Linked DNA regions of Mus musculus: all the other regions are reported to be linked to region 1. The links are microRNA targets in miRTarBase. Many come from high-throughput screens and were not tested one by one. Region 1 holds a microRNA gene; each other region holds the end of a gene's coding sequence.

Region 1 (7,121 bases):
CTCCACCCCTCACTGTGACCGCCAAAGGCACCCAGGTACCTTCTGGATTTTGAGCTCCTGGATTTTGACCTCCTTCTGAGCCGTGGTCCTTTCCGTTTCAAAGCACCCAGCCCTCTCCCAGTTTGCAGTTCCCTCCATACTCTGCCCTACCAGACCGCCCTGGTAATTGAATCTACTTTCCAGTTCACTAAGATAATATCCAAAAGGACTTCCTTCTGCCCCCCAAAGGGCTTTAGCTCTGGCTTTTGCACCCTCTGAGTTTCCTACCTACTCGGAAGCATTACACACATCCCTCTCCAGATCATGTCCTGACCACTTCTTTTGCTTGTTTTTTGAGACAAGGTCTCCTATGTAATTCTAGCTATATTGGAATCCACTGTAGACCAGGCTGGAACTCTGCCTCCCAAACAATGGGATTAGAGACTGCATGCCTGCACCCATGACCACTTACTTGCTCTATGTCTTGATGTCCTCCTGTGGCCTCTCCTCACACCTACCTCCGCTACCTTCCTCTCCCTCCCCTCCCCTCTGGAGTGCTAGGGATTAAACCCAGGACCTTGTGCATAATAGGCAAGTGTTCTACACCCTGAGCCAATTCAAATTCACAGAAGTGACTTAGCCAACCTAAATCCTTTGCGGCCCAGACCTCCCCTGATATGTACATGTAAGATATGTAAGATATGCACATGTAAGATATGTAAGATATGCACATGTTAGGATTCCTAGCACCTCAGGATGGATCTGCTGTGGCAACAGCTGCTGACACACGTCTACCCTAGCCACAAAGGAGTGTGGTTGCTTCTTCCCCATCAAAGCCCTCCGTCAGGCCTGAGACTCATTATGTATCAGAGCAGTCCCCATGGGTGCCAGGACTTGTGGAGCTAGAGTACTATTAAGGCTGATTTTCTCAATCTATTCCCAAAAGGGAATCTGGAAGCCTGGGCCTCCTCTCAAGGAGGCAGGCCTGACCACCTCCTACTAGGTTTTTGTTTGTTTGTAAAAGAGGGGTGGGTGCATTGAAACAGGGCTTTACCATGTAAATATAGCTCTTCTGGAACGTGCAGGGTAGACCAGGTTGTCCTTGAACTCACAGAGATCTACCTACCCATGCCTTCCCTGTGCTGCATTCAAAGGCATGGGCCATTGGGTCTTGCCGCTAAAGGTAACTCTGCAAGCACACTAAGGATCGGGCATCCTTAAAAATTCAGCTCCAGGGCTGGAGAGATGGCTCAGTGGTTAAGAGCACTGTTCTTCCAGGGGTCCTGAGTTCAAATCCCAGCAACCACATGGTGGCTCACAACCATCTGTAATGGGATCCGATGGCCTCTTCTGGTGTGTCTGAAGACAGCTACAGTGCACTCATATAAATTAAATAAATAAATAAATAAATAAATAAATAAAAATGAGCTCCAGCCCTGTCTGGAAAGCAGACATACCAGACACCTCCATGCCTCTCCTACTCAGCACATACCCTCTTTGTAAAGGAGCAAGCAGACATGGCTGGCAGGCCTACTCTGCAGGCTTCTTGTTCCAAGTCCATCCATCTGGCCCAGGCAGGACACTTCTTCTGAGCCTCAAGGTGTGAACCCAAGGTGTGGTTATCTCAGGAAAGGCTGAGTCCAGTTCTTCCCGAGGCAGTCAAGGCTAAGCAAGGTATACAAACCTTTTCCATACAAAGAGGTGAACATCTGTTTCTCTCCACAAGGTCCTGGAGTTCCTAGTTTTGTTTTGATTCTTCAGACAGCTTCAAAACTGAGACAATCTTCCTGCATCAGCCTCCAGACATGGGCTCACCAATCTTTCTTTCTTTTTTAATTGATTAATTAATTAATTAGTTAATTTGGTTTTTCTCAAAACACGGTTTCTCTGTGTATCCCTGGCTGTCCTAAAACTCACTATGTAGACCAGGATGCCCTAGATCTGGGTGATCCACCTGCCTTTGCCTTCCAAGTGCTGAGATTTAAGGCATGAGCTACCTACCATTCACTCACCGCCGCGCCCCCTGCAGCAGACTCCCCTATCTTAACCTGGGGGGAGGGGGCTAAGAGCTTGAGACTGGAGCCTTTCCAAATCTGGGGTCTCCCCTTTGTACTGGTTCCAGCCTTGGAATATGGTTCTCAGCATCCACCTTATCCTTTTAGCTAGAGATAGCTATCTCTATCTAAGACTATGATCCAAGCACTGACCCTTTTGTTCCTCAGGCTCCTTAGCTGGCCCGACAGATGCCCTTTCATCATTGCACTGCTTCCCAGAGGCCCACAGTAGTGCAACAGGGAAAGAGTGTCCAACAAGCCTGTCAGTCTCACGGGGTGGGGCGGGGCATGGGGAGTTGGGGTGGCTGGAGTGGGATCTTAGACCTAGAACGCATGCCCACCTGGGCGGAGCCTCGGCCTGAGCAAAGGATGCCCTCTGACCCCAGAGACACGGGCCTGGCTACAATCTCAAGTTTCCATGGAGAAGAGAGTAAAATGAGCAGGGGGAGGGTACGGCCTGCAGGCCTGAGGGGCCAGGCCTGGAAAGGGAAGAAAGAAGGAACAGTAGGTGAGGTGGTCTTCGAGGCTGGTCCCAGATGCTTTGACAATACCATTGCACTGCTTCTCACAGCACAGTAGTGCAACCTAGTCAGAGCACCCGCAGCCAGCAGGAAATCCATCGCCCTCGCTGCACGCAGGGCTGCGCTGGAAATTCAACCACCATGGGTGGGTGGGACATCTATCCAAGCTCGGAGAACAGACGGGATTCCAGCCCGGATGCAGTCCTCTGGACTTATTAACTTCAGGGAACTCAAACTTTCTCTAACAGGCTTCTGATTCTGGTGAGGTACTCCAAGGAGGGAGCTGAAGGGCGAGCACCCGAGGGGGCTCAAACACAAAGGAGAGAGGCCTGCGCTCAGTTGCAGAGGGGAGCACAGTGGGACTACTTGTACCCTGTTTCAGACCAGAACTAGAATAAGAGGGATACTTCACTCCTTGCACGTGAGGCCCTTGGAGTCCGAGATCCGGTCCTTGGTCCATTCCCCCAGTATGAGTTCTGCACTCTATCCTAACAGATTCTCCTGCCTAGAAGAGCAGAACTAGGGCTTCCTGGCATCTGGAGTTTCCCTGGCCTCACCGCACACCCTATCCCAGACCAGTTACTCACGTGGACAGACACCTCTTGTTCTCACCAGGGGGACAAGGTGAAGCTTAGTGGAAGATCCAGGTAGGCGGCGGCCCCGTCATATCTGGACAACCCCGCACCTCAGCACCTCGTGGCGCCCTCTCTCCCTCGGCTCCATCTTTAACCATCTGACAGTCCCGAGGGCCGAGCCCCGGGCCTCAAGGCACAGCGCCAGCCTCATTGGCTTGCGCCTACACCAAGCTTTGCCTCCTGCGCACCTATTGGCTGCTGCTGGAAAGATTTCAAAATAGCCTCCAGGCTCCGATTGGCCAGGCGCCCGAGTTTTGGCTCCACCGTTTTAACAATGAGTTCTACAAACACTTTCTCCTCATTCATAACTCTTGAAAAGGAGCTCTGTCCGCCTTTTCCCAGCTCATTTCTCTGTAGTTATTATAGTGATACTCATGAGGGCGCGTCCATGCTTACTACACAGCTCACCAAATTAGCGAGGGCTCTGAGATCCCGGCAAAGTGTCCTTTGGCCAAGCCAGCGGTTGAATGAACCCCTAGGGGATGCTTCGTATTTCGCGAGAAATTTGTTCATTGCTCCTCCAGGATGGGACATTTACTTAAAAACCGTGGCCTTCCCTCTTTCTGTCCAACTTCAGAGCATCGTCATCAGGAAACCTCTGGCTGGGCTGAGGAGGCCCTGGCACTTTTTGTAAGTGAAGAAATGCTCTGATGTCATTGATGTCATTGAGAATGTGAACCACTTTATGGGTAAGAGTTCATTAAGTGACCTTTCTGAGCTAATATGTCCAAAGATACACAGCACCTAGCACCCAGAACCTGAGGTGTTCTACTCAGTTCTGTCAGCGAAGGGAAAAACAGAGTTTTGCAGCTGGCGTCTGAGCTTTACCCCTAGTTATATCCATATGAGACAGGGAATCTTTACCCCCCAGCTCAAAGGCTGAAAGAAAATATTTTTAAAGCAGACAGAGCTGGTTTTCGATCTTCAAGAACTCATTTTGTCCACTTAATTTTAAATGTAATTTTTTGTGTATGGGTGCTTTGTTTGCCTGTCTGTACCACCATGTACATGCCTAGTGTTCAGGGAGGTCAAAAGGCTTTCTATCCTCTGCAACTGAAACTATAGAGGATTGTAAGCAAACACATGCATGCTGGAAATGAAACCCATATGCTCTGGTAGAGCAACCAATGCTATTAACACTGACCCATAATATCTCAGTCCCTACATTGTTTTGTCTTCTTTGGGAAAAAAAAGAATGCTGGTTTTTTGAGACATCGTATATCACGGCTGGCTAGTTGAGAACTCACAGAGTAGACCAGGCTAGCCTTGTGCTTATGGTAATCCTCCTAGGTTTTTGCAGTACTGGGGATACAGCCACCACACTGCATCGCTCCACACAGATACAAAATAAAACATCCAGAAATTCCAACATTTGGGAAGTGGAGAAAAGAGCCAGAAGTTCAAGACCAGCCTGAACTACATGAAATACTGTCTTTAAAGAGAGGGGGCTCACCAGAAAGAAGGCTCAGTGGTTAAGAGGGTTGGCTGCTCTTCCAGAGGACTCAGGTTCCATGCCCAGGATCCACAAGTTGTCTCAAAGGCATCTGTAACTCCAGTCCAGTATCGTCTTCTGGTCTCTAAAGCCATTGCATGCATAGACATATGGGCAGTCAAAACACCCATACACATAAAAATAAAAATCAAATGTAAAATTAAAGTGTTTTGCTGCTGCTCCTGTGCTTTTCATTTGTAATGTTTTGCATTCTGCATGGAAGCAACTTTTCTGCTCCATGAGTTTGGGGGCTGGAGAGATTGATGGCATGGCTGTCAAAATCGAGTACTACTCTTGCAGAACTGTTAAAATTGGACTTAAATGAGTTCCCCAGCCATACTAGATGGCTTACAGCCACCTGCAGTCCCAGCTCCAGGAAATCCAACACCCTCTTCTGACCTCTGAGGACACCTAACTCATGTTCATATTCACACACACACACACACACACACACACACACACACACACACACACTTTAAAATGGCATTTAAAAGTTTGGCAATAGATCAAGGCACATTAGTACACATCTTTAATCCTAGTACCTGGGAGACAAAGGCAGGTGGATCTCTATGAATTCAAGGAGACCAGGCTACATAGCGAGTTTCAGATTAGCCAGGGTCGCATGGTAAAACCTGTCTCAAAATAAAAGTTTGTCAGTGGAAAGACCAAGTCTCTTACAGACAGGGGAGTAATGGTCCAAGACATAACTCCCTCCCCTCAGGATTCAAATTGACTACAGCTTTTCTCTCATCCACACATTAGTAAAGTCAACTGATTTCTCAAATCCATGTTATCAGTTCTTCCCACACTATCCCAAGTCCCTCCCAGCCAACTGTCATCTCAGCCTCTTAGGATTTTTCCTGGCCCTCAGGAAATCATCCTACTAGTTCCCCTGAAGTCCTTATGACCTACTCAGTCAAGCCCAGGAAATCTGTCATTCCTTCCCCCACCTCTAGAGGCCATGCACACACCACTAGTGAGCTGCCAGCTTGCTGGTGAGGGACCTTTTGCTAGTGTGTGTGTGTGTGTGTGTGTGTGTGTGTGTGTGTGTTTTCTTATGTGCATTATTTTATCTAATGTTAGTGTTGTAAATGGGCCCTATGCCTTGTACATGCTAGAAAATGTTCTACCTATAGCCTCAAACATACCAAGTACCAGCCGGGCATGGTGGCACACGCCTTTAAGCCCAGCACTTGGGAGGCAGAGGCAGGCAGATTTCTGAGTTCGAGGCCAGCCTGGTCTACAAAGTGAGTAGGACAGCCAGGGCTACACAGAGAAACCCTGTCTCGAAAAAACAAAAAACAACAACAACAAAAAAAAAAAACATACCAAGTACCAACTGTTCCACAACTCAATTAGTCCCCCAGCTCTTGCTTTTAAATTATACAACCTTAACCACCCAGATTGGATGGGTTTTGTTGTTGTTTGTTTGGAGTGGGGAAATTGTCTTCCCTTGCGATGTCCCTTCTCACTCTTTTTGTTGTTGTTGTTGTTGTTGTTGTTTTGTTTTGTTTTTTCGAGACAGGGTTTCTCTGTGTAGCCCTGGCTGTCCTGGAACTCACTTTGTAGACCAGGCTGGCCTCGAACTCAGAAATCTACCTGCCTCTGCCTCCCCAGTGCTGGGCTTAAAGGCGTGCGCCACAACGCCAGGCCCTTCTCTTTTAAAATTACAGGTGTCTGAAAAAATGTTCAACATCCTTAATCATCAGGGAAATGCAAATCAAAACAACCCTGAGATTCCACCTCACACCAGTCAGAATGGCTAAGATGAAAAATTCAGGTGACAGCAGATGCTGGCGAGGATGTGGAGAAAGAGGAATGTTCCTCCATTGTTGGTGGGATTGCAAGCTTCTACAACCACTCTGGAAATCAGTCTGGCGGTTCCTCAGAAAATTGGACATAGTACTACCGGAGGATCCAGCAATACCTCTCCTGGGTATATATCCAGAAGATGTCCCAACAGGTAAGAAGGACACATGCTCCACTATATTCATAGCAGCCTTATTTATAATAGCCAGAAGCTGGAAAGAACCCAGATGCCCCTCAACAGAGGAATGGATACAGAAAATGTGGTACATTTACACAATGGAATACTACTCAGCTATTAAAAAGAATGAATTTATGAAATTCCTAGGCAAATGGATGGACCTGGAGGGCATCATCCTGAGTGAGGTAACCCAATCACAAAGGAACTCTCACAATATGTACTCACTGATAAGTGGATATTAGCCCAGAAACTTAGGATACCCAAGATATAAGATACAATTTGCTAAACACATTAAACTCAAGAGAACGAAGACTAAAGTGTGGACACTTTGCCCCTTCTTAGAATAGGAAACAAAACACCCATGGAAGGAGTTACAGAGACAAAATTTGGAAGTGTGACGAAAGGATGGACCATCTAGTGATTGCCATATCCAGAGATCCATCCCATGATCAG
Region 2 (7,111 bases), not on the chromosome of region 1:
TTCTAGAAGTAAAAAAGAAAAAAAAAAAAAAAAGGAAGGTATGGGAAAGAGATGGTGTTCTCTGTGTACACATCTCAGACATCCTTACCTAACCAGGTGCCTTTTTCTCTCACCGAGGGTGCAGTATGTCTACCCCGAGGGAACTTCAGCTTGTTCCCCCAGTGATAAACCTACATAGGTCATATTCTTAGCTCACATTTCATATTTGGCTCCATTCTTGACAGGTTTCCTTGCTGATTTGCTCTATAAAATCACTGAGAAGAGAGGGGATCCTGTTCTCCCTACAGTCTGTAAAGCAGGTCTTCCACTGTGGGGGTCACACTGCTGTGGGGGCTCAGCTGATAGACAACTCTGAGGTGCTCACGATATCCTCTTGTCGTTGCAGACCAGGATCATTCTTCTGAATTGGTGTGCATGGTTTCTGCGCATGAAGAGGCCGGGAGAGGACAAGGTGCGGCCGGCTTGTCAGCACAAGCCTCGGCGCTGCAGCCTGGCCAGTGTGGAGCTGAGCGCAGGTGCGGGGCCACCCACCAGCAATGGCAACCTGCTCTACATTGGCTTCCGAGGCCTGGAGGGCATGCACTGTGCCCCAACTCCAGACTCTGGGGTCGTGTGTGGTCGTTTGGCCTGCTCCCCAACACATGATGAGCACCTCATGCATGGTACACACCCCTCTGATGGGGACCCCGACCTGGCCAAGATCCTGGAGGAGGTCCGCTACATCGCCAACCGCTTCCGCTGCCAGGATGAGAGTGAGGTGATCTGCAGTGAGTGGAAGTTTGCGGCCTGTGTGGTGGACCGCTTGTGCCTCATGGCCTTTTCGGTTTTTACCATCATCTGCACCATCGGCATCCTCATGTCAGCCCCAAACTTTGTGGAGGCTGTGTCCAAAGACTTTGCTTAATGTTATCATGTAGGAGATGCACAGATAAGAAGAGAATCTGGAGGACGAGAATTGGGGTCCTAACTCTACATTGTGATAAATGGAAGAACTCTGAGGTATCCCTGTAGCTGTCGGTCTTGAGATTTATTTTCCTGGTTACTTTAACTAAAAAGATCCCAGCAGCTTCTGTTTACTTTTCTTACACCCATCACCGGCATATCATTGTACTCGGCAGGGGCACCATGTGGTCATTTGCCCACTCTGGATAGCCCTACAGGGTAGATCTTAGTGGCTCTAGTAGGCCAGTAGAGAGGCCTGTCCAGTTTGTGGCGCATGCCTGCATGCCCCTTGTCATGGGCTCACCCGATAGGCTGTCTGCCTTTGCCATGCACAGACCCAGGCTGAAACCAATCCAGAGCACTTCCCACTGGATCCATTTCAACAGCTGCCTTGCAAAAGGAAGTCAAATTCAAATACAAACTACAAACCCCTCTGCTACTTACATTCTCTGTGATTTAACTTACATCTAACTATATCTATCTATCTATCTGTCTATCTATCTATCTATCCATCCATCCATCCATCCATCCATCCATCTTTGTCTTTACCAATGTCAACTTTACACCAGGGAGAAAGTTGGTCTTCTAAATGATGTTTTGCAGGCTAATCCCTGTAGATGTGTCCTAACAATTAAATTATCACACAGGTTGTGTCAGTTCAAAACTGAGACTCACCCTAGCCAAAAGGGTTTTGAGGCTTTGGACCCTTTAGATGTTAGATGACCTCCAAGCTTCATGCTGCTTCCTTGTCCTGAGGAGTTAAATGAATTTGTTTGTACAAAACCTGAAAGGCAAATAGAGTTCTGAGTGTTAACTAAGGAGTAGCTGAAGCTTATCTCAACTTTGTGTGTGTGTGTGTGTGTGTGTGTGTGTGTGTGTGTGTGTGAGAGAGAGAGAGAGAGAGAGAGAGAGAGAGAGAGAGAGAGAGAGAGAGAGTGAGTGAGTTTGTGTGTTTATGTGTGTTGAAAATAGAAGCATGTTAGTTGCTCTGCATGTCAGACTCCACAAGTCTTAGAAGTTTTTGCATCTGTACTGCTGCACACCAAGTGGAAATACCCTTTAAGGAAGCAGTTTAGTCCCCTCTGGGCTCCTGTGTGACAGGAGCTATGGAAAGATGATGTCGCTGATCACTCATCTAGATACAAAGCTGGTTGTCTCAGGATTTGGTTTCTGAGGATCTGCCTTCCTGTGGCTTCAGATACAAAGCTCACTTGGGGTCAGTGCATGGATTCACTGGAGATGGGGTAGGGGTGATGTTGTTTGTATGTTTTTTTCCTTCTTCTGAGCTAGGGTCCCTCTGGCTGTATAGCTCATACCAGTCTGTTTGCACTTCACATCTTTATTTGTTAATGAGCTGAGAGTATTTTTCCCCGAGAAAAGCTTTTCCTGTTTGATAGTGTTATTGAACTTCTTGGGGATTAAAACTACATGACACTTCTGAAGCTCCCAGAAATTTTAAGCTTCTGACTCCAGAAATGAAATCATGAGAGAAGGTTAGGTTTCTCAGAATAACAAAACCAAACCAAACAAAAATTCACATTTTCCCAGCCATTAATTTCACTATAGGAAGATGAAGGCTTGGTGGTACCCTGTGTGTATGTGGGCATGTGCATGTTTGCACTGTGTGTGTGTGTGTGTGTGTGTGTGTGTGTGTGTGTGTGTGTGTGTTTGGCTGAAGAGAGGAGATAGTATAGAGTGACATGGATAAATCTGGAGACTGTTGATTTTAACACCCACCATCTGGAGCAGGGTTATTCCCAGCATGCATCTGTTGCATACATTATCAACAAATGATATCAAATATTTTGCTGGTATTATGATTTTTGATTAAAGTAACTAGAAACAAATAGATATGTTTTGATATGTAAAGACCAGGCTTTGTGTCTTACTGTTAAAAACTGAACCCTAGCCATTGCTTTGACTGAGTAATTAGTGTCATTATAAAAGTAATGATAAAGAATAGCTGTGCTCATAGTTAGGTGTATATGGTTCAAAATAGTCTCTCCTTGCTTCCGTTTCCTCCTAGGGACAGTTTTAGAGGAAAAGAAAGGAAAGGTGGGAACAGAGAGAGGGAGGAGAACATGGAGAGACTTTGTTGTTGCTTTCCTAGAAGTCATGTTTGAAAGGTGCTAGGCACCTAGTCTTTTGTCCTAGAGAGCTTTCCATAATGGTCTAAAGGTCTACCTCATTCCTCTTAATATTTGCTTAGAGTTCCCCTCCATTGGTGGCTTATAATCTATTGGATCAGCCTTTTAGTGATGAACACATAGCTGGCTGCAACATTTCCAAGTTTTATTTTTATACACAAGTCTATAGTTAGCATTTTGGTGCATAATTTGCCAAAGTTTCTGTGTATAAATTCCAGTTTAGAAATGGAACTATTGGATCTAAGACTATGTGAGACTTTAGATACGTGCATTGCGATGGTCCTCCACGAACTGGTCAGTGGATGCCCCTATCCAAAGTTAAAGGATCAGATTCTCGGCTTTATGCTGTTAAATGTTTTCAAATTTAATTTTCTCTTCCCGATCTGACAGGTAAAAACGATGAGGCAAAACCATTCTGATTTTAGTTCATTTTACCATGAGCAAGGATGAAGTTTTCATATATATTTTTTTGGTAATTTCAGTTTTGTAATATTTATATCTTTAATACAAATTTCAGTTTTTTTATTCTTTTAACTTATTTGTCATTTGTTTTTTATGGTGTTCATTGATTGCATGTTTATATTAGAAAGTTTAAAACTCTGTGTTGTTAGTTTATTTATGTTTTCCTTTGTAGAACATGATTGCCCTCTAGGTTTGAAGAGGCCTTCCTGTGTTGAAATTACAAATAAATTAGTTATATTTTCTTTCAAAATCTTAACATTTCTACTTATCTGCCTTTATAACTTTTTATTCTTTAAAATTCATTATAGTAAATATAGATAAAGATTTAGTTGTTTATCTCCAAGAGTGGTACACAAACATATAATAAAGCATTTCTGCAATGCAGTGAGACTCCACGAAGTTCAGATTGTCACTTCGGTGTAAACTATGTTTCTCCAAGTGCTTTTCTGTTCCATTGATTAATCTGTCTTAATGCTGTTGATTTTCCAAAGTTTTCTTGGTATTATCAGTATTTTCAAATGGATAATGTTTTATGATCCCTCCCTCGTATTCTCTGTGTCATGGACTGGGGTCACAATGGATTCATACAGCAGGTCTTTCTGTTTGAAAGCACCACAATTTCAGCTTGTTCTCAAATCTAGTAATACAGCAGTCAGTAGGGTGATCAGACCCTACACATTTCTTGCTGTTCATTTCTGGCTGTCTTATTAGTTGGTTACCGTTTTCACTTGTCTTTTTTTAGCCATATATAGGACAATGGTTGGGTTTTGTATGTTAATGTCAAATAATTAGTCACCATAATCGTGGTTGTTTTGTTTCTAAGATTTCCCTTTAACTCATTTTCCCCAATATCTTTATTTCATTTTCTATCGAATTGCACTTGAGAACAGTAATTGGATTGTTTGCATACTTGTCTTGTTCTTAATGTTGATGGATGTTTTAATGATGCACAACTTTACTTGTATGAAGACATGTATTTTCTTCATCATAATAAAAATTATACATGTATCCTCTCAACTATTACTGTTGTCTGGAAAAATAGAGATGGTATCTTTCTGTCAAAGCCTTCCCAGTATCCATAGAAAGGACCAGAAACTTCCATTTTCCCCAATAGAAGGTTTTATTGACAGAATACTTAAGGGGAGATCATTTTTCCTGAGGTGATGTCTACATTGCCTTATGATTTTGGCTGTCCATAGCATGTTTTGTGTACCATTGTATTCAATCAGTTGGATGAAAAATATTCCAAAGTCACATCTTTACTAAGCATATGCAGCTTTTCTTCTTGTTGCTATTCCATTGTTAGTGCAATATAGCAAGCACATATCATTTCCACTATAAATAAACCACAGATGGTATAATATAAATGAGAGGGTATATGGGGTTATTTCCAAATACCACACCACTTTATAGGAGGATTTAAACATTCTCATACTTTTATATGCATGGGAGTTCCTGTCCTAAGAACACTAAAGGATGAGTCTAATTGATTTTAGTTAATTTTTGCTTAAGTTGGCAAGAGCTGTCTAAGAAAGAGCTGGATTTCTCCCATCAAACATATTAGAACTTTTGGTGTCCATTTTAATGTGTGTGTGTGTGTGTGTGTGTGTGTGTGTGTGTGTGTGTGTGTGTGTGTTTCCTAGACAGGATCTATTCCCAGGCTGGTCTGGAACTTAAAATTCTCCTGTTTCACCTTTCTGTGCTGGACTCTAGGAACGCACCACCATAGCTGGTTTTTTAGTTGCATATTTTATTTTAAAATTAATCATATCATTTTTTTGAATAGAGTTCCATAGTTTTCAACAAAAACTTTAGGATTTCTGACTTGGTTTGTATTTGTGGAGATTTTTTTTTTCACTTTTAATTGTGTGTATTTTTCTTTCATCTATGCTTAATGATTTGAACACACACACACAAACACAGATATTTGGACACAGATAATTAGATATCACTATATAAGCCTACCTGCTCCTGGGTCCTATCTGCCCCTGGACTGACCTAACACTTGGTAGTTACAGCAGAAGACAGGTGTCTTCGTTTGCTTTCTGTGCTATGATAAACACCATGATGAAAAGCAACATAGGGAGGAAACAGTTTATTTGTTTTGCACTCCCACACCGAGTCCATCAGTGAGGGACATGGGTTCAGAAACTCAAGGGAGCTCTGGAGCGACTCTATGGAGGAATGCTGCTTAATGGCTTCCATCACGTCTTGCTCAGCCTGTTTCCTCCAAAAGGCTTCTCTGTCTATTATATGTATGATAGCTCTAGCTTTCCTGCAACAGCCAGGTCTTTGTAGACCAGGCTGTCTTCAAACACACTGATATCTGCCTGCCCTCTGTCTCTCAAATACTGGGATTAAAGGAGTGCACCCTTGGCGCTCTCAGAGTCTGAACCACCAACTAAAGAACATACATGTGCGGGACCTAGGCCTCCCTACACATATGTAGCAGATGTGCAGCTTGGTCTTCATGTGGGTTCCCAACAACTGGAGTGGGGGGCTATCCCAAAGCTGTTACCTGTACGAGGGATGTGTTCTACTTGCCGGCTGCCTTGTCTGGCCTCAGAGGGAAAGGAAGAGCCTCACAGAGACTTGAAATTGGAGGAGTGGGGAGATAGCCAGGAGTGCCCCCCCCACCATGAGAGGAGAAAGAGGGGGGATGGGAGAAGAACTTTGTTGGAGGTGACTGACAGGAGGACAGTGAATAAATAAAAAATTATTTATTAAAAAAAAAAAGACTCTCCCGGGGTGGGGCACCACCCGCAGTGGATTGGGTTATTCCACATCAGTCATTTATCAAGATAATGCCCCACATAATTATCTAGAAGCCAATATGATGATGGAAGAACTCTTCTAGTTGAGTTCTCTCCTCTCAGATGACAGTAGATTGGGTCAAGTTGACAAGAACAACAACATAACAACCATCAGCACAACAGGGCAGTGCTAGCCACACAGTGGCTGGAGTTGCAATTTTCCCCATCCCTACTCAAGGGTCTAAGATATGAATTCCTGCTGAATGCTGGAAACTGCTGAGGCAAACCAGTCAGACAGGATATGCCGGATGTTCATTCCACCACGAGAGCAGCTAAAAGAAAGACCCTCAGACACCTTCACCATAGAACTCTCCCTCAGACACTTTCACCATAGCACCCTTGGCGTACAAGTCTCAAGATGTAATCCTTTCTCGAGAATCTTACATTCCCTTGTTCTTTCATATATGAATGCTTCCCAGTTCTCTCCAAACTGACCCTGCCATTGTAGACCCCATCTTTTTGGCCTTCTGATATAATTCTTGCCTCGTGGGTTGGAAAAGGAGCCCCAAAGTCCTGGCTTCTTGAGGTGTTACCTGCAATTCAGTCTCTGTAAGTCTCTGCTGATCCCCACGTTGTCAGAATAGTCTACTTTGGGAGTAACAAGAATAAGAAACAATCCACAGTTCAGCCTGGGTCATCACCACTTCTTGTCTGTGTCTTTGTCATTTAAGATCAGATGTCTTTCTTAAATTTAGTTTGGTGTGTGTGTTCATGTGTATGACCAAGTTTGTGAAGTTTGAGGCTGAT
Region 3 (7,099 bases), not on the chromosome of region 1:
AAGAGACTTTTTTTTTTAAAGATTGATTTATTACATGTAAGTACACTGTAGCTGTCTTCAGAGACTCCAGAAGAGGGAATCAGATCTTGTTACGGGTGGTTGTGAGCCACCGTGTGGTTGCTGGGGTCTCTCCAGCCGTAAGAGACTTTTCTATTTCTTTTTAAACCAAAGATCTCTGAGGTGGGTAGTAAACTCAGGTGCCGGCATGTTTGGCTGCTGTCCAGCTGTAGTTTTGTCAGCCAGATGGCTCTTGTGCTGCTCACTTGCCCATGGTCCTTAGAGGCAGGCAGCAAGAGGCCACAATACTGATGGCAACCCCAGTATCTCTGCATGGTGACAGAGCATTGGAGAAAGATACTGGGATAACAGAGTGGCAGAAATGGGCCTCTGTGGCTATGTTTGTAATCTTTTTTTCTCTTGGCCATGTTGCCTACAGGTTGCAATAAATTGACAGACCAGACCCTGTTCTTCCTAAGGCGAATTGCTAATGTCACCTTGATTGACCTTCGAGGATGCAAACAGATCACGAGAAAAGCCTGTGAGCACTTCATCTCAGACTTGTCCATCAACAGCCTCTACTGCCTGTCTGATGAGAAACTGATACAGAAGATTAGCTAAGACATGCTCAGCCCAGACTGAACAGGAAAATCTTCCCCTGCCTTCCCACCAAGGAGAGTCTCTCCCTGACCCTGCGCAGGCTCTGAGGCCAACGACACATTCCCTCTCTGCTCTCTTTTCTCTGAGCCCTTCTCCCACAGGTGGGGCAGAGAGGTTGGTGGACACCAAGGTTATTGCCTGCTCCTCTCCCTCCCACGGAAAAGAAAGGAGAGGTTGATCAAGGAGAAAGCACAGGCTGTGCTATCCCAGTTCCTGCTTGCTTGCTCGTCTGCCAGCTAGGAAGCTGGGCTCTCAGTTTGGGGGAATTTGTGCATCTTTCACCTGCACTGGGCCAAGAACCCTACCTTCTCACCCATAGTCCCTAGCAGTGCCTGGTTCTGAGCATACTCTAGGGAGGAAGGCAGCCTTGCCTCCATGGCCAGATTCTCCTCATGGTGTCCGTTGCGTGTCTCTCCTCCGTTAAACTCTCCCGGCTTCTGCAGGAGGAGCCAACAGCCCTAGAAACACCAGGCCTGGCAGGTCTCAATGGTGCTGTGAGTTGTCTGAAGCTTTGCTCCATGTCTGTCATAGCCCTTTTTTCTTGTCCCTGAGCTTGATGCTGTCCAACACTCATAATACAGTCCCCATTCTGCCATCACCCCCTAAACTTTTCCACTAGTCACCCACTTGTCCTTTGTTGCACTTACTTGGGGTTATCAAAAGCTCTTCAGAGGAGCTGGAACTCTGCCCCTCCCCCCCCCCCCCGAAATGCCCATATCATTGCTACCCAGGCATATTCTAAGACAGGCATCATTAATACTCCCCACCCATTGCTGCCCACCAACTGCCCTTTTCCATTTGTCCTCTTTCTGCCTGAGCAGGGCTTTTCTAGAATTTGTGTCCTCAGAAGGAGCAGCATGTTTCTCCAGGTGGGGGAAACAGAAGACTGGTTGAATCCCCACCTGCCTCTCTAAGCCAGGCTTTTCTGGGCTCTGGTTTAGCATGGCCCTCTGAGCCCAGGCCTGTGTATAACCTAGCAGCTCACTGACCTGGTGCCTTTTAAGGGGAGTCCTGATTGAAAACCTACCCTCTGCCTGCAGCCTTGGAAGTGTGTGTGCATGTGCCTCTGTGTGTCTGGCTAAGTGTGCTGCACATATGTGCAGGGAAGGAGGGGAGCATGATGGCTCCCACTCCTCATCGCCCTTCTTCAAGCCCCATCAAGCTGCCCCCTTTGACTTTGCATTGAACGGCCTGTCCAAAGATCCTCTCTCTAGGGCAGCAGAGAGCTTTTTGCACTTTAGAAAAAAAAAAAAAATGAAAGAAAGAAAATGGTCGGAACTGTTCTGGGTCAATATTTAGAGTATGAGGAGATGCTCAGCAGAGGCCTGTGGCCAGAGTTTGTCAGTGATACATGCAAATTTGCACTCTGCTCCCCATCTATAGGAGATTGATAATTGATAGCACAGCCTTGCCCCGCCTTCTCTTAGCCCCAAACATATCCCTTCCCACTTCCCACCCCATTTCCTGGAATCTAGCCTCAGACTTTCCTAAACTCCATCAAGAGGGGACAGAGCCCGGGCACCATGAGTCTGAAGTGTGAACCGCCCAAGGAGAGATGCTAACTGTACCCTTGCCACTGCCAAAGCAATAGAGGCAGAAGTGTCCCCTCTGCCACTCAGCCCAGCTTTGACCCTGGCAATAACCAGACTTTTTCCAGGAAAACTGGGTTTCTGGCAAGGGATGGCATTGTTTCTTCCAATCTGCTGATTTCTCTTGGCTGCACCTTAAAAACAGCAGTCTGCTCCCTTGACCCTCTGCCATTCCATTGGTCTTCAGGTCCCAGAATCCTGGGCCTGAAATGTTGAGGAAACGCCAGTGACTTATTCCAGAGTGCCTCAGTTGGGGGAACTTCTGTAAAGAACCCTGGGTGTTGAGCAAAAACCTTATTAATACTATTAATGACCTATAATTAGAAGCTTCCTGACTTTTTTTCTTTTTGGTTGCTCCTGTGGAAAATACTAAAATTACTAAGTTTTGTTTGTTGTCTTTTTATGAAAGGGGAGGTGGAGAGACCCTTTCAGAGCAGGGATTGTGCCGGGAGAGTGCCTCTGCCCTTTGGGACAGTTCATCCACAGAAATTTCTAAGCTGATGGCTTGTCTGGGTTTTGGTCTTTGCATTTGAATTTAGAAAAAGCAAGCATTTTACCGCACAGAAATTTGTCAGTGGAAAAGGGAGCTCAGGGTGGTGGCAGATGGACTGACGCCCTTGCTGGGTCTTTTCTTTAGGACTATGAGGGAGAATGGTTTTTAGAGGTGAGAGTTGGTCCTTGCAAAAAGAGAGAAGTGTCTCCGAGGACGTAGAACATGCGAGTTCATAGTCCTGCATCTACTCTTAGCTGCAGTCTTGCCAGAGCCTGGCCTCAGACTGCAGGACCTGACCTCTGCCTTCATCTTTCCACATACTGGGGCAAAAAAACACAAAGGAAAGGAAGAAAATTATATATATATAATTATATATATATAATATAAAATCACTTGGTGATTAAAAAAATAACTGCTCAATAAATAAAACTCCTAAAGTCACTATGTTTAAAGGGTTTGGTTTTTTGGGGGTGGGTGGGAAATATTGTAAATATATATTTTTTGTTGCTTATTTAGAGTCGATCTCCAATGTTGTGCTAAGATTTTTAAATTAAATGTAAGCATTAAGGGAATGAGTCTTAGGCCACCAGCTGACACATTGGCATTATTTTGGGTCAGGGAAGGAAGAAAGCTAGTTGGACTTTGTTTTCTAAAAGTTTCCCACTTGGTTTTAGAAAGAGCAAAGATGTCTTTCTTCTGACACTTGGGAATGGGAGATATTTGTGTAATAAAATTTTTAAAAGACAAAAAAAGAAATAGCCTCCAATGGGAAATATTTTGATTTGGTTTTCTTTTTTGTTTTTGTTTTTAAATAAAAAGACTTTAAAAACAAAAACTAACCCCTTTCATTTTTGGTGTATGTGTATGTCTATCTAAGAGGATGTCAGAAGGTCATATAGACATGCTGATGTCTTGCTAAAACTAGGAAGTGCCTGCCCCACCACTCTGGACAGAAACATCTGTGGTACAAGCCTGTATACTTACTAGCTTTCTTAATGTCAAAAAGCAACACTTGCTCGATGAAGTTAAATTTTAAAAGTACTTTACATGTGATTGCAGGCGTGTACATATACCATGGCATACTTCTGACCTGTGGAGGTTACAGGGCAGCTTGGAGGAGTCTCTTGTTTTTGTAACCATGTGGAGTTCCATGCTTGTAAAGGTCAGAGGGTAGTTTTTGGACACTTTTTTATGTATACAAGTGCTCTGTCATATTTGCATGCCAGAAAGAGGGCATTGATCCCATTGCAGATGGCTGTGAGCCACCACGTGGTTGCTGGGAATTGAACTGAGGACCTTCGGAAGAGCCAGTGCTCTTAACCAGTGAGCCATCTATACAGTCCTCCAACCCCTATCCCCAAAGCAAACTTTAATGGATGTGTAAGTATTTTATGTGGTAAGGCTAAAGGACCTCCCCAAAAGTAAACAGACTTAGAGCAGTTCCTGGGAACAGCCTGGGCATCTCTGACCTCTTGGCCCCAATAACCAAGACCAACCTCCCATGCTGAAGCCTCCAGATGGCCTGTGGCTGGCATTTGTCCCAACTCTAGGTTAACCATGTGACCAGAGAAGTACTGCCTGCTGCCAGAAATCCTCACTATCTCAGGAGGAGTGGATTCTTACTCATCCTGTTGCCCTAAGCTGACGCCCTGCTCTCTGCTCTAGAAACCGATGGAACACTGGTTACGTTTCCTGAAGATGAGCTATTTGGGTGTTAGCAGAGAAGAGGGGATTGTCAGCTTTGCCTCTGTTCTCATCCTTGCCACCCCTGTTTAGGACCTCAATCAGCACAGCCTCTAGTCCAGAGCTTCTTAACCGGGGGTTGTAGTCCCTTTGGGGTTGCCTAAGACCACTAAAAGAATATTTACATTATGACTCATAACAATACTAAAGTCACTATTTTCAAGTAGCAACAAAAAAAACAGATTTAAGGTTAGGCACCACCACAACATGAGGACTGTATTAAAGGGGCGCAACATTTGTAAGGTTGAGAACCATGGCTTCAGTCCAAATCAGGAGCAAGAATATTTTAATGACTGACCGACCCAGGTGCTGTTTCATACTTAAAACTCATAATGCAGGGGGCTAGGAGTGGTGCTTGCATGCCTTTAATCTCTTGAGTTCAAGGCCCACCTGGTCTACAGAGTGATTCAAGGACAGCTAGAGCTTCACAGAAACCCTATCTTTAACGAGAAATACAAATTTTAAATTTACTTAAGGTTTTATTTTTTTATTTGGAGAGTTCTCTTTATGTAGCCTTGGCTATTCTAGAACCTTCATATAGACCAGGCTGTCCTCAAACTCAGAGATCCACCTTCCTCTACTTTGCCAAGTGCTGGAATTAAGAGTGTGAACCATTATAACCGGCTAATTTGTTGTATATACATTGTCTGTGTATATGTCTGTGTACCATGTGGATGTTTGGTGTCCATAGAGGCCAAAGAGGAATCAGACCCCTGGAACTGGAGTTACAAATGTAAGCCACTACATGCATACTAGAAATTAAAACCAGGTCTTCAGGAAGAGTAACCAGTGCTCTTAACTGCTGAGCCATATCACCAGCCCCTGATTTCTGTTTTTTAGTTATGTGTATTATGTATGTGGATGAGTATGGTTTGTGCACAAGGGCAGTGCCCTCAGGCCAGAAGAAAGCATTCATTCGATCTCCTGGAACTGGGGTTATGGGAGTTTATGGACCATTGGACTTGAATGCTGGGAATCAAATCTAGTCCTCTATAAGAGCAATATGTGCTCTTAACAACTGAGCCATCTGTCTAGCTCAAAGCCTTCTGTGTGTGTGTGTGTGTGTGTGTGTGTGTGTGTAGCTGGAAGGAGGTGTATGTGCCTGTGTGGTTTGGATCCAGAGAAGACATCAAATTCCTTGGAGCTGGAGTTATAGGTATTTAGAAAGTCTCTTTACAAGACTCTGGCTTACTAGGTACAGGAATCTGAACTAGGACCCCATGATTATATAGCAAGTTAACCAATGAAACCATCTTTCTATTTTATTTGCATAGGGCCCTTCAAAAGAAGTATTTTGGGGAGGGGGTGCCTATTCCCCCAGGCCGACTTTGCTAAATGTGCTTGAACATTGGCTGCTTCACACTCTGGATGCACAGTTCTTCCTTTTCCCTATGTATTTCCACAGGTCCGGTCCAAGCTTAGGACGGAAGCTGAAAGCCAGAGAGCACTAAGCCTGATCCAGTCCCCTAACTTTCCCTGTCCTGTCCATCCCTCTCTAGAGGCTGAGCGCAGCTGCTATAAGCCAGGAGGTGCTGGAAGACAGTAGTGCACCTGAGAAACCAGAAAAGGAAAGGTAACAGGTAGAGGGCAGAAGAGAAATGAGACAAAGGGCTTGAGAGGATGCCTGGAGAGCAAATGAGACAGAAGACTCCAGCGAATGGTAGAGTCAGCAGACTAAGATTCTACCCTACTCCAGAGCTTTGCACATCATCTTTGTTCGCCAATGCTGGCCCAGAGAGGATAAGAAACCTGCCCAAGGCACTGGACGGGATTAATAGAAGTAGCTCTCAGATTCAGTCATACAACACTTCAGTACCAACGTGAGGACTACCAGACATCACAAGCTGTAATTCACAAGCGGTTGACTTAGGGTACAGGAACACATGCGCGTTGCATCTGGGAGGGTGGGTGTAGCTGAGGTCCAGAAGACTGAAGCTGGAATCTTAACCTCTGCAAAAACTCTGAAAAGCAGGTTGCGGCTGGGGCTGGGACAGGGCTGGACTACACGACCTTAAAGGTCCCTGGAAAAGTGCTGCTCCTCAGAACAGGGTCATGAGAATCTGGAAAGGAAGTAAGAACCTGCAACCTTCATTCTGGTGCCAGAAACTTGTAATCCCAGTGCTTGAGTAGCTGAAACAAGAAGATGGTGAGTTTGAGACCAGCCTGAATATATATTGACTTTGTCCCTAATAAATAGGACCCTCCAGACTGGAGAGCTAAGTTAGGTCCTGGAACCAGTGTAAATGTAGAATGAGAGAACAAACCTCAAAGTTGTCTGCTCACCTTCACACATGTGTTATGGCACACGTAGCCACACACATGCACAACATGCACACACACAGTAGCAATAACAACAAAACAGAGTATGATGACTTGTGTCTGGAACTCAGACTTGAGAGGCTAAGGAAGGAGGATCAATGGAAGTTCAAAACCACTTTGATCTCTATAGCAAGTTCCAGACCAGCCAAGGGTATATGGTAAAACTCTATCTCAAAAACAAGGTTGGTTGTTTGTTTGTTTGTTTGGCAAGGTTTCCTAGTTATGGTTTCTGTTGCTGTGAAGAAAACACCATGACCAAAAGCAAGTTGGGGAGGAAGGGTTTATTGAGCTTACACTT
Region 4 (7,102 bases), not on the chromosome of region 1:
TTAGATCTTCCTAATTGGCAGCCAAAGGCACTTACTGATATAACTGAAGCGGATTTTGTCCTGTACTTTTTCCCTATTGTGGTCTTCCCTTCCACCCACCCTTTTTTTTTGTTCCTTTTTTCCTCTGTTACAGTTTAGAAAACGCTAAACCCTCCTCCCAGGCAGCCTCCGTCACGATCCCTGATCACCTCAGCATCAACCTCTCTCAACCCTCCACCCCTTCTTCTTCTTCTTCCTCTTCCACCACCACCCCCTCGCTCGCCACAGCGGGGACTTCCGACGCACCCTCCAGCCTCCCCAACCCTCTTCCGACCGCCCCTTGTGTCTCCAGTCTGCTTGGCATGAAACCCATCCCTCTCCTGGCTCTAAATGTTGTGTCTGCTGCTAAGGGTACCGGGGCTTCAGCTACCACCACCACCACCTCTACTGTGCCATGTGTAACTAACAAACTGAAAGGCGAGAAGCAGAGATTCTCTCCCTACTGAGTGCTTATCTTGGCATTTCCTCAAGTGTTTGTTTATTTTGTTTTTCTTTGTTAACATTGGTGAGAACCAAACTATTGTGAGCTTGTGATCATTTTCTTTTTACTACTTTGGGGGATAACTGGGTGGGAATGGAAACAGGGGTAATACTTGTTTAGGGTTAGGTCTTCACAGCTCAGTGCCTGTTCAGAGTCTGACTTGTTGATTGAAATCTCTATCTAGAGCCACAGTTCTTACTCTTTAATTCTGTTATACTTTTTTGTAGCTTTATTCTGCCTTGCAATATAAAAAATGTGTTAGGCTCTGTGTTGATGAATAAAAGCTTCTCCTTTAGTCCTTTCTTTTTTTTTTAACTTTAAATCATTTAATGGTTAAAGCTGTCAGCTGGACTTCTTGGCTGAATCTGTGTTCTAGTTATAATAAAGTTGCCACAGTAAGAACAGTAGCTCACTGTGTGATGTGACGGGTGAAGGGTGGGGATTTGTGATTTGTGCCTTGTCAGATTGGATGGCTGTTCAGCCCTTTTGTATCTTCCATGAATTTTGTAATCCTTTGTCAATATTTTCAAGTAGAAGGGTCTTCAGTAGTTTAAATACTGATGATCCTTCATGACTGACCAGAAGCTTTTAAGTCAAGAACACACTTACTTTGCCAACACACCAATAGTTATAATGATGTGTCTTGTCTGAGCTCTTTTCTCTGGTGAATAGTCATTTCAAAGGCATATACAGGACTGACTTCTTTAGCCATAAGATAGGCAGTGTTCAGTGTCAAGAGTTGAGCAGCTTTTGCCTATATTCCTTTAATGGATCATTAGATATGCTTCTGGGATACTAGAGAGGGCTTATATAGATTGATTGTTGGTCATTCTAAATATTGCTCAGTCAAGTTCATTTACCTTCTATTTCCTACCTGTCTTTCTCACTAGCAACAGTACCATGAGTGGGAGATAATATGCTTATATTTGAATGAATTCTCTAATGGGAGATAGAAAAGAGGTCCTAAGAAAATATAAACTTTATGAATGATTTGTCAGGACTAATTTTTGTGCTGTGCTTTTCCACAGTGCTGCACTTAGCTCACGGTGTGTGCTTTCTCCTTTTTTCTGGTGTGGGCTTGATCCCATAGTTTACTGCCTAGGTACACCTTGACCAATTTTTTTGTTTGTTTGTTTGGTTGTTTTTACTTATTTTTTCCCGAGACAGGGTTTCTCTGTGTAGCCCTGGCTGTCCTGGAACTCACTTTGTAGACCAGGCTGCAGGCTGGCCTCGAACTCGAAATCCCCCTGCCTCTGCCTCCCCAGTGCTGGGATTAAAGGCATGCGCCACCACGCCTGGCTCCTTGGCCACTTTTAAAAACTAAGATAAGCCACAGATGTTTTTCCACAAGGAAAAAAAAAATGGAACACTAAGGGTTTTGTGACTGAGGCTTAGGCAGTGGCAGGATATTTGCTGGGCCCTGGGTTTGTTTTCTAGCATTTAAAAATTAAAAGGAGGCAATGATTATTGATAATCCAAGGTACATATTGTGAGTTTTCTTTACTGGTAGGTAGGCAGTGAAGGTTTCTAGATTTTTTTTTTTTTCCCCTTGATGGTCTTTTCCAAACATCCCTTAAGGTAACATTGTTGAACATCATCATGAAGACAATAGTTGTTCATGCTTGTTATTAATCTTCAGTTTCTGGTGTTATTGTGGCTCCTTTCTTCCCTCCTAGCTTTACAACACATTTGTTCACATATCCTAAGTCTGGGTCAGGATTTTTTTCGTGTGTGTGTGTGTGTGTGTGTGTGTGTGTGCGGTCCTAGCTGTACATGCACTAACCCCCACCCAGCCTGGGTTAAGGATTTTTAGAAGAGCAAATTGCAGGTTTATGGGTTGATGTTAGCTGCCTCCTATGTTGTGTAGGTCAACTCTTTCTGTAGTTAAAACTTACTATGCTGATAACCATCTTCATTGAGATTTGAGTTTTAACTTTGTCTGTTGGAAGGCCTCTTAGCCTTAATCCAATAAATATCTCCAAATAAAGATTTGCCGGGAAATAATACAGATGTTCAAGGGGCTTGATACCATTTTTTTTTTTTTTTTTTTTTTTTGGTTTCTCGAGACAGGGTTTCTCTGTGTGGTCCTGGCTGTCCTGGAACTCACTGTAGACCAGGCTGGCCTCAAACTCAGAAATTCGCCTGCCTCTGCCTCCCAAGTGCTGGGACTAAAGGCGTGCGCCACCACACCTGGCTGATACCATACTTTTTAACAAAGGTTTTTGGTGTGAAAATATTTAAGAGCTTGATGCTCCTATATGAGTCTGATGTCAAAAGTCATTGCATTTCTGGTTGAGATTTCCCTCTGTAACTCATTTAGTTCATCTTGCTCTTTAAATTCCTGATAAAGCTTTATTATGAGTACTGGATAGTTCTTGAGCTGTTTATATGGCCACTGTACTACTGCCCTATATGGTTGTTTTTTGAAATACTAGATTAAAACAAACCATTTACATTGAAACTTTCTTTCCCACTGGTCTCTTCTTATTCAGTTTGCTGAATAATACATGTAGGGCCTTTGGAGACCTGAAAATGTTGGATCCCATAGAATTGGAATCACAGATATTTGTGAGCCACCATGTCGGTTCTAGAAATAAAATCTGATTCCCTACAAGAGCAACAAGTGTCCTTAACCACTGAGCAATATCTTGAGTCCCTAAAGCTTATTTACCTTGTCATTGGGTCATCCTATTTTGAGATAGGCAAGATTCTGCTGCGTTCGTGTTTTGTTGTTCATGGGTCCATGTGTGGGCCTAGGTGTGTACCATAGTGTACAAGTGGAGGTTGTCATTGTCTTCCACTTGGTTTCAGATAGTCCTTTTGATCACTAAAAAAAAAGCTGACTTTCCAGTTTCTAGGAATTCTCCTCTCTCTGCCTCTTGATTTGTGGTTGATGTGCTGTTACTACAGATGCTATGCACTATCTACTGTATCTGTTTTAACACTACACTGGGTTTGTTAAAGTCAGGTGTCTATGTGCTCAGATGACAAAACCTGTATCTGAGCCATTTCCACAGCCTATGTAGACCTGATATATGTGCATGTGAACATGTATGGGTTTGTGGAATTCAAAAACTGATTTTGTTATTTTCCTCAGTCATCTTTAATTTTTTGAGATTTTTTTTTTAAAGATTTATTTATTATTATATGTAAGTACACTGTAGCTGTCTTCAGACACTCCAGAAGAGAGAGTCAGATCTTGTTACGGATGGTTGTGAGCCACCATGTGGTTGCTGGGATTTGAACTCTGGACCTTCGGAAGAGCAGTCGGGTGCTCTTACCCACTGAGCCATCTCACCAGCCCTTTTTTGAGATTTTTTACTGAGCTTGGAGCTCACTGATTTGGCTAGATTATGTGCCCTCCTCTCCACTTCCCCTGCATTGGTATTCCAGGTGGACATTGCCACTTCTGGCATTTTTATATTGTGGGCAGGTCCTCATTGCTTGAACATCTCTTCCTTCCTTTTGAAAAAACTAAAGATTCCCCTCTATGCTGCATTTTACCTATGAGAGGCTTCACTCTGCATAGTTTGAGATCTCACATGTATATTTAAAGTTTAGGCACATTACGGTAGTAACATAGACAGGACAAATAATTTCTGACGTTAAAGAAAACATATTTTAATTGAAGAATGACTTCTAGTTTCCGGGATATACCCCTTCCCCTGTGGTATTTGTACATTTAGTGCACATGGTATTAAGCCAAACATCACAAATGGATGTCAGTTGGCTCTTTGTGAAGTTAAGCTTGTGGTGTGGACCTGAGACACCTCTAGTTGTGTTCAGAATGAGGCATTTTGCTGCTACCCAGTGATAATGAAATGTACACTGAATGCCTTTCTCTCAAAGCTTAATTGTATTCCAGGACCTCAAATGACCTATTTGAAACAAGTAGAAAGGCACTGTAGCCAGGTATGTTTACAAGGAGAATTTGGTACCAGTAAGGCCACAGGTTTTGGATTTTGAAGAGTGAGCTAAGGAACTGAATTGAAGCTTTGATACTTGTTTTTTTGTTGGTATTTGTCCTAAAATTATAAGCTTGAAAACAATAATTCAATTTTTCACTATAGTTCCTATTCTTGCTCCTCCCTTTAAGTATTGTTAAAATTACATAATATCTTTAAATGTTAGGCTCCCAACACAAAGTTCCTTCACATTGGTGGGCTGTTCTAGTGTAAACACGACAGGATCAACTCCTTGAAGCCTAATGTTCTCTAGAAATGCTTTCAGTTTGCAAAGAGTAAAACGTGAAGAGACAGTGTCACCAACTTAACATCATTTGTTATGTTCTTCTGAGAACACCTCAGGAACCTTGGTTGTAGTGGTGTTACATAAACAACCTTGTGCACTATGGTACTAGCTAATCTAAGAAACCTTGAAATACCTTGGTGTGATGAATTGTAGCTAGGTAAGCTGACTTATTCTTCTTTGTGTTTTACAGGCTTTCCTCGGAGACAGGTGGCATGGGGAGCAGCTAGAACAGAGCAGACCCATCCATAATCCTGCTGTTCACCACCCATGATCCATCTGTGTAGTTTCTGAACAGTCAGCGACTCCAGGTTTTAAAATAGTTTGTAAATTTTCAGTTTCTACACACTTTATCATCCACTCATGATTTTTTAATTAAAGTGTTTTAATTCCTTTCTCTGTTCAGCAGTTACGCTGAGATATCCATATTTAGTTTTATAAGCTTCTCCCCCTTTTGTTTTTTGGTTTTTGTTTTTGTTTGGCTCATGAATTTTTGTTTGTCATGGAAATGTAAGAGTGGATTATTAATACATTTCAGTTTAGTTCTGTAATGTCAGGAATTTTTCAAAAAAAAAAATTAAAAGATGGACTGGAGCTTTTTCTTTGTGAATAGAAACTGGATGCCACAGTGACTTACGTGGGTGTTGTTCCTGTCTGATGTTATTTTTATACCTTTTAACTTCCAGAGAGCCCTGATTCAGTTTCAATAGAATTAATGGACTTTCTTCCCTTTTTTACCACTCCAATTTTTTTAATTTGCCCTCAATCACCTCCCCCTCCATGATACTGGGTAGCCTCTGAAAACTTGTTTACGGAGATTGACAATTACACTTACCCTAGGATTGTAGAGCAGCTGGTGCATTTATGGAGCTGGGCAGGAACTCGTGGATAGTAAGGATAGTAAACTTGGGAATGGCTGCCCCTTGTTCTACCTTGCATACTTTAAAGTTCTAGTAATTGTTCATTTAGTTTTCTCCATAGGTGTTTTGAGACCTCCTTGTTCTGAAATCATTTAGAAAAGTTTACCTGCTATCATTTATGTTAACTTAGAAAATAACTTGTCCAAATTCCTCAGATAAAATCTTAAATCCAAGTTGAAACCATGTATTATACCACTCTACTCATTCACCAAGAAAACCCTCGACAGTTGGGCCTGCATGGAGTGGTTATATTTCAAGGTTGTTCACAGGGGTTACAATATGACAGTCCCCACCCCTACCAGGCACCAAGATAACAGTGGGGACTAACAGCACCCCAGTTCTTCAGCCTGAGCCATCACATGCTGTTAGTCGTCTGGCCCAAAGCCAGGGTTTGGGCAGAGAAACAGGAACAAAGAAATGAGTTACATTGCCACCTGAGAAACCTCAGAGGGATGACCCAGCCTTAGTTTCTTTCCCTCCTCCCAAGTGCAAAATGTGTAAACAGTAAACGGAAAATAAAAGTGCAGTTTTAAGTGAATCCTCTACCTGCCCCTCCAGTGTTCAGGGATAGACAGTATAGAGACAAGCCTGGCTTTTCTATTGCCTACTTGCTTGTTCAACATAAGGAATGGGGTGAAGCAAGAAGGGGCCAGCTTCCTTTCTTTATAGCTCTAGGGTAGTACTCGGAGTCATTCATTTCCACAGCTGCCAGTGTCCCCAGAACTTATTCGGTAATTGGTCAGGGGCGTCGTTCACTCTCAAGCCTGGCTTAAGGCTAAGAAAGCCCCATCTATCTGTTGATTATGTGGCGCATATATATTATTTATATAAATATTTCTCTATGTACAAGGAATAAGAGTGTCTTTCATGGAGGAAGGGAGGCTGGGGGCCGCAAGGCATCAATGCTGTTGGAGTTGTCCAATTCAGTGCTGTCACAGTCTGAGTCTTCAGGATTGGGGCCCTGTGAAGAGTAGAAATGCAGTGAGGTGGGGGAGCCTTGGGGACCCTTCTTTTACATTAACAGTGGAGTTTTTTTTTTTTTTTTAAATCTGTTCATAGGTCCAAGGCACTATGCTAGATTCCTTTTAGGATACCTTGATGACTACTGTCATCAAAGCTGCCACACAAATTAAACATCAGGCACTATATGCTCGGAACCATTAATTCTCAACTACTACTTACATGGATATTTGTTTTAATGGTTATGGAATAATGATTTTTAGATTCTCAAATGACTGGGTTTCTGATCCCAGTTCACTTTTCAGTGTCTGGTGGTTGCAACTCAAACTTACCTGGCCATCCTGGTGTTGCATGGGCAAGGAGCTGGCTTCACGTTCAGGGACCACCTCTGAAGTAGGTAGGTCCAGTGGAATTTCTGAGCCCTGTGAGCACATGTCATCAGATCGTTCATCTG

The links. Region 1 holds the annotated microRNA mmu-miR-130b-3p (CAGUGCAAUGAUGAAAGGGCAU, at 2,223-2,244, opposite strand). A microRNA usually pairs through its seed, bases 2 to 8, with sites in the 3' UTR of a target mRNA and lowers its output. Matches are read on the target gene's strand: a 7mer-m8 pairs with bases 2 to 8, a 7mer-A1 pairs with bases 2 to 7 and ends in A, and an 8mer does both.
Region 2: the mRNA of Chrna7 is a reported target of mmu-miR-130b-3p. The part of its 3' UTR that is shown has no 7-base or 8-base seed match.
Region 3: miRTarBase lists Kdm2a as a target of mmu-miR-130b-3p. Seed matches in the 3' UTR shown: 7mer-m8 at 1,295-1,301, 7mer-m8 at 1,888-1,894 and 7mer-m8 at 2,017-2,023.
Region 4: the mRNA of Map3k12 is a reported target of mmu-miR-130b-3p. Seed matches in the 3' UTR shown: 7mer-m8 at 6,174-6,180 and 7mer-A1 at 4,204-4,210.

The regions. Positions count from the first base shown.
Region 1 is chr16:17,121,849-17,128,969 of GRCm38, forward strand. It overlaps Mir130b (microRNA 130b), which reads right to left and starts at 2,294; the gene lies at 2,213-2,294. It overlaps 2610318N02Rik (RIKEN cDNA 2610318N02 gene), which reads right to left and starts at 3,354. Exons shown (of 7, transcript NM_001358255.1): 1 at 3,142-3,354. Mir301b (microRNA 301b) reads right to left here and starts at 2,648; the gene lies at 2,552-2,648.
Region 2 is chr7:63,093,017-63,100,127 of GRCm38, reverse strand. It overlaps Chrna7 (cholinergic receptor, nicotinic, alpha polypeptide 7), which reads left to right. Exons shown (of 10, transcript NM_007390.3): 10 at 386-1,436. The coding sequence ends at 904. Among named protein-coding and RNA genes, the nearest start is that of Chrna7, 120 kb to the left of the region's middle.
Region 3 is chr19:4,312,619-4,319,717 of GRCm38, reverse strand. Kdm2a (lysine (K)-specific demethylase 2A) reads left to right here. Exons shown (of 21, transcript NM_001001984.2): 21 at 437-3,574. The coding sequence ends at 618. Among named protein-coding and RNA genes, the nearest start is that of Grk2, 9.9 kb to the right of the region's middle.
Region 4 is chr15:102,493,528-102,500,629 of GRCm38, forward strand. Map3k12 (mitogen-activated protein kinase kinase kinase 12) reads right to left here. Exons shown (of 16, transcript NM_001163643.1): 15 at 6,981-7,102; 16 at 4,120-6,649. The coding sequence ends at 6,554. Pcbp2 (poly(rC) binding protein 2) reads left to right here. Exons shown (of 15, transcript NM_001103165.1): 15 at 4,962-6,532. The coding sequence ends at 4,998. Among named protein-coding and RNA genes, the nearest start is that of Map3k12, 20 kb to the right of the region's middle.